Linked DNA regions of Kluyveromyces lactis. The protein of the gene in region 1 interacts with the protein of each later gene in a pairwise test. Links are inferred from orthologs where the notes say so. Each region holds a gene or a part of one and is shown in the gene's direction. Other genes may lie near its edges. The genes, in order: GIM3 and PAC10.

Region 1 (2,412 bases):
AGCCTAGACTGTTATACACAATCGTCACAGGGCAAAATCCAACCGGTATGACACAATGCAAAGAGAAGAGACAGAAAATATACGATCTATGCGAAAAACATGACATTATAATTGTGGAAGATGATCCGTATGGTTACCTAAAGTTTTTACCCTTTGACAAGTCTGATCCATTAAAGAATCAATATAACGATGGCACTATCACTTTCGATAAATATTGTAAAGAAATATTAGCCCCCTCATATTTGACCATAGACACATCAGGGAGAGTCATTAGATTAGAAACTTTCTCCAAAGTCTTCGCCCCTGGGATGCGTCTTTCCTTCATTGTCGCCAATAAATTTATCCTAGACAAGTTATTGAAATATGCAGACATTTCTGTTAGATCGCCATGTGGTCTTGCCCAAGCTATGACCATTAATATAATAGACAAATGGGCAGAAAATTTCAATGGAGACAAGGTCAGAGCTTGGCTATCATGGGTCATGAAAGTTGCTGGTGAGTATACACATAGAAGAAATGTGCTTTTCCAAGCATTGGAAGCTACACCAGCTTATAAAGAAGAATTATTTGAATTGATTGAACCCTCTGCCGGTATGTTCATTAGTATCAAGATCAATTTTGATAAGTTCGGAGAAATCTCGGATAAATTAAAGGCCATGAATTTCTTAAACTACAAGTTGTTGGAAGAAGGTTGCATTGTAATCTTGGGTTACAGAATGGCAGTTGACAAGAAATTTTCATATGACAGGTCCAACTTTTTAAGAATTACATTTGCTATGGCTCCAGATGAAGAGCATTTACAAACAGCTGCTGAAAGGCTAGGTAAAGGTGTTGAGAGATTCTTCAAAGAGTATCACAACTGAAGGGGTCTGTTTTACAGCTCTTTCTGGTAATTGCTAATTTTCAACCTCACGTTGCACCATAAAAACAAAAGTTAGATACTTATATATGAATGCATAATTACAACGTGAAACAATAAACCTGATAGGGCCGTGAAATATGTCCCAACTGCTTTCTTTTGAGCATGAAATTGTAAAATTGCATGACATAATTTTGCATGTCAGTAGTGTAATTTGCAAGATAAATCTTTAGAGTATGTAAAAGTTGAATAAAAAATAACAAGAATGGCTAAAAGTACAGATGAAAACAGTACATGACATGAGTAGACACAGAGACATCTACCACATCTTACACGCAACACACTAACTAGAAATGGAATTACTACCGGAGGGTCAAAAGAACACGGTCACCGTTGCATACGAAGATCAACAACGTATCAATGAGTTCTCCAAGTTGATCATGAGAAAAGATGCTATCGAACAAGATTTGACGCAACAAAGAACAGAGAAAGAGTACCTCGACGACGTATCGTTGGAAATTGAATTGATAGACGAGGATGAGAAGGTACAATATAAGATCGGAGACGTCTTCGTATTTCTAAAACAGAAAGAAGTAGTTGAAAAGTTAGAATCCGATGCTGAAAACATCGACAGCAATATAGAAAAGCTAGAGAGCGATGAGGCGGAATTGGACTCAAGAATAAAAGAGCTAAAGAGTATATTGTATGCCAAATTCGGTGACAACATCAATTTGGAACGTTGAGCCCATAAATATACATTGCTGAAGTGCTTGATAGAATTGAAAAAATATCCTTAAACCGAGTAATATATGTTTGCGTATAAAATCTACATAGAAAATAATAGTAAAGACCGACACAACGTTGATTCAGTCCATAATGCAATCAAACAGCATGTTCTTTCAGCCCACCTAACGCATGAACCTCCTGGTCTTCTTCTATTTCAAGCCCCCAATTAAAATGTTGGTTCATTTCCTTGAATTTAGCGACAAACTCTTCTGGCAAATCCAAACTAAACCCATTGAATAATGTATATTCATGCGTTATAGTCCCATCAAGTTCATGTGCCACATTCACTAAATCATTGTAGTATTGGAAGCTGTCAGGATATATAACCATAAGTGAAGATACTGTATTTGACGATGACGATGATGATGTTAGTAAAGTTGAGAATTAAAGGGAAAAAAAAGGGTTAAGAAAATCCGTCCTTAAACATACACGAACTGGCCAACGCCGTTCCAATAAAAATAGGTGCAAATCTCATATCTGCGGCTAATGCTTTGTTATTACTGTTGCTACTCTATTCTTTGTTCTTGCTAACAATCTCCCTTATCCTTCATATATCATGATTCATTATTCTTTTATATGGATATCATATCTCATAGTGAGTATTTGGCAGAAGGAAAAACTGGTAATCAAAAAAAAACAACGTGATCATAAATTAATAAACGTTACCCGGTTTGAATCACGTGTTAATCACGTTCTTGATAGCCCGCCCTGCGCCTTTCGTGTCGGCCCCCGTACGGCTTCCGTTTTTTTAGGTTCGTTTCGTTATT
Region 2 (2,767 bases), on another chromosome or scaffold:
TGATATCAAGTTCTGATAGCCTGTACGTTTCAAGTAACAAAAGTAAGTAGCCTTGAATTGATCCCACTATATATAATGCGCCGGCGATTGTTCTTAGCCCACTTTCTGAAGTTTGGTCTGGTTTATAGAAAATCCAACCGACTACAATTCCGACAATAACTGGCTCAAATTGTACTGCAAAGAGAGTCAGCCTATCTCTACTGGATAGTAAAAAATTTCTCTTGGTTAAAATGAATGTTTGTTGTAAGATGGACACAGATGGTGGAGAAGGATCGACGCTTATAACCGCTGTTTCCTTTGAGGTGTCATATTTGGTAGAACATCTCTCTTGCCATTCCGAAGCAAACATATTCCACCTTCCTTCAGAATCAAGCGTCGACTTTTCAGTTCTATTGTCTACGCTACAGATATCTATCAAGTAATCTGCAGGATTGCACCTTTCAGGGACGGTGTATCCCATGGATGAGAAGTATTCCACCATACCGACCACCGCACCGCAATACATCGGGAATCCCTTTGATAATAGGCACACTTGATCTAACGCGAAAAGTATATCTGACCGAGGCTGATGAATGCTCATAATAATAGTTCTTCCGCCATGTTCACAAAGTTTCTTTAACGTTTTTATCAACAAAAACGCAGAGTACGCATCAAGCCCAGTTGTTGGTTCATCCAGGAATAAGACAGACGGATTTGCAATCATCTGTACTGCTATACTTAGTCTTCTCTTTTCACCTCCTGAGAGTCCTTTGTTTATTGAATCACCTACGAACGTCTCTGAGCAATCCCTCAACCCCAACTCCGCAATCAACTCTTCTACTAATGAATATCTTTCTTGTTTCGGCAGATGTAATTTAAGATCAGCAGCAATACGAAGTGTTTCTCTGCATGTCAACCTCGCAGCTAATGCGTCATGCTGTGTCAAGTACGCTGTGGTTACCTTCTCGTCAGCTTTAGATCCCTCTTTTGCAGCATCTCGACTGTATTGGATTTCCCCATCATAGTTTATACTCGAATTTGTTTTGCCTGCTAGAACATTAAGCATGGTAGTCTTACCTGAACCTGATCCACCAATAATTGCCATTAGCTGACCATTTGGAAGAGAAAACGACACATTATTGACGATTGTTGCATCCTTGGCATGTATATTCAACTCAATTACGTTTAAAGAAACTCTTGTGAGAGAAACGAACGAGAGTTCATTCTCTAACATTTACTGACTTGATTTTAACTAAGGAACCAGGAATTCTAATATGTCCGAGCACTTGATGAAGTTTCCGAACTAATGATTTCGTTTTTCCGATAATGCCAACTTTTCCTTTACTTGTTAACTTTTCATTCTTCTGCATGTAAACAATGTTAATCTTCCATAGTTTTGCAAATTAAAACAAACTTTGAATGAAACAAAGAATTGTTGAAGTATTGAGGGGAAAGAGCTGCTTGGTATGTGCTTGGACCGCGTGGAGACGTCAAAACAAAACTACAAAGTAACATAATGGATACGCTATTCAATTCTGCAAAGACAAATCCTAGAGGGATTCCTGAGGCTCCATTCGTGGAAAAGGTGGAGCAGTATGTGAAGAGTCCTGAGGATTTCGATATGTGCTTCAGCAAGTTCCAAGAACATCTATCCAAATATAAGTACATGCAAGAGTCTAAACTAGCAAACATAAAACAGCTTAAAAGCAAGATTCCAGATATTGAAAATACTCTCAATATGTGTGCGCTTTTGAAGCAAAAGAGAGAGACAGAGGTTGACGAAGACGATGAGGAGGAAGATGACAGCTTGCTGATCAACTATCAGCTAAATGAAACGCTTTTTAGTAAGGCGTCAGTCAATCCGAAGGATCCTGAATTAAAGGTCGGGTTATGGTTAGGTGCCGATGTGATGCTCGAGTATCCTCTAGATGAGGCAATTGAGCTTTTAGCTCAAAAGCTAGCAGATGCCAAGCAAAATCTGGACATATCTCAGCAAGATGTGGAGTTCCTAAGAGAGAATATCACGACTATGGAGGTCAATTGTGCTAGATTATACAATTGGGATGTTCAAAGGAGGCAGCAGATGAAAAAGGAAGGCTCTTCTGGTTGAACTGTTTCTTTAAATCCTATTTATGTATATACACCATGTAATTGAATCAACGCATTGATAGATTTAAATATTATCATTATCTACAAAAAGTGTTTCACCTTCTAAAAGTATCCAAGAACTGGACCCCTAAAGTGCGCTGAGGTTCATCTTGAGGTTCTTCGGCCTCTTCCTCATTTAGATCTTCCGATGTCATATCGTTTGTCATAACTGCGCTTGGTCTGTTTAATGTGCTAGAACTTCTGTTCCAGCTGTCTTTGAAAGGCGCCAATTGGAAGGAGTCAGTACCTGGTAGTAGCCCATTATCCATCAAGATAGCACAAATCCAACTTATTAGTCCGATTACCAACCCTGTTGCGCCTTGATTTACCATGGCAAGGAATAACAGGCCATGGATGAAAAATTGATCTGTCAGCTTCCAAACGATCGTGTTAGAATGAAGAAGAAAAGGTTGGTTGATTATTATATTGAATTCGTATAACCTTGGTGTATACTGTTTGTAGAAATGAGTCAAACACAATATTACTGGTAGTGGGCCATTTGTGTATTGATCCCACCAAATTCCAGGCAAAAGCTTGTTAAGTAGATTCGAAATCAAAAATATTACCACTGTTGTATAAGCCCATGATAATATCACGATATTAAGGTACTTCCTTGATCCAAATAGCCTCTCTAACGATC

Evidence for each region.
Region 2: the proteins of GIM3 (region 1) and PAC10 interact in binary tests that used the Saccharomyces cerevisiae proteins (3 or more experiments, as listed by UniProt). The link is inferred for Kluyveromyces lactis from reciprocal best matches to the Saccharomyces cerevisiae genes GIM3 and PAC10.

What each region holds. Positions count from the first base shown.
Region 1 is NC_006040.1:948,978-951,389, forward strand, and holds GIM3 (tubulin-binding prefolding complex subunit GIM3), read left to right. Parts: upstream 1-1,212; coding exon 1,213-1,602; downstream 1,603-2,412. Other genes in the region: ARO9 (aromatic-amino-acid:2-oxoglutarate transaminase), read left to right, coding at 1-863; KLLA0_D11143g (uncharacterized protein), read right to left, coding at 1,742-1,986, 2,075-2,120. UniProt on the Saccharomyces cerevisiae protein: Binds specifically to cytosolic chaperonin (c-CPN) and transfers target proteins to it. Binds to nascent polypeptide chain and promotes folding in an environment in which there are many competing pathways for nonnative proteins.
Region 2 is NC_006039.1:412,092-414,858, forward strand, and holds PAC10 (tubulin-binding prefolding complex subunit PAC10), read left to right. Parts: upstream 1-1,495; coding exon 1,496-2,089; downstream 2,090-2,767. Other genes in the region: KLLA0_C04477g (uncharacterized protein), read right to left, coding at 1-1,213; DSC2 (Dsc2p), read right to left, coding at 2,184-2,767. UniProt on the Saccharomyces cerevisiae protein: Binds specifically to cytosolic chaperonin (c-CPN) and transfers target proteins to it. Binds to nascent polypeptide chain and promotes folding in an environment in which there are many competing pathways for nonnative proteins.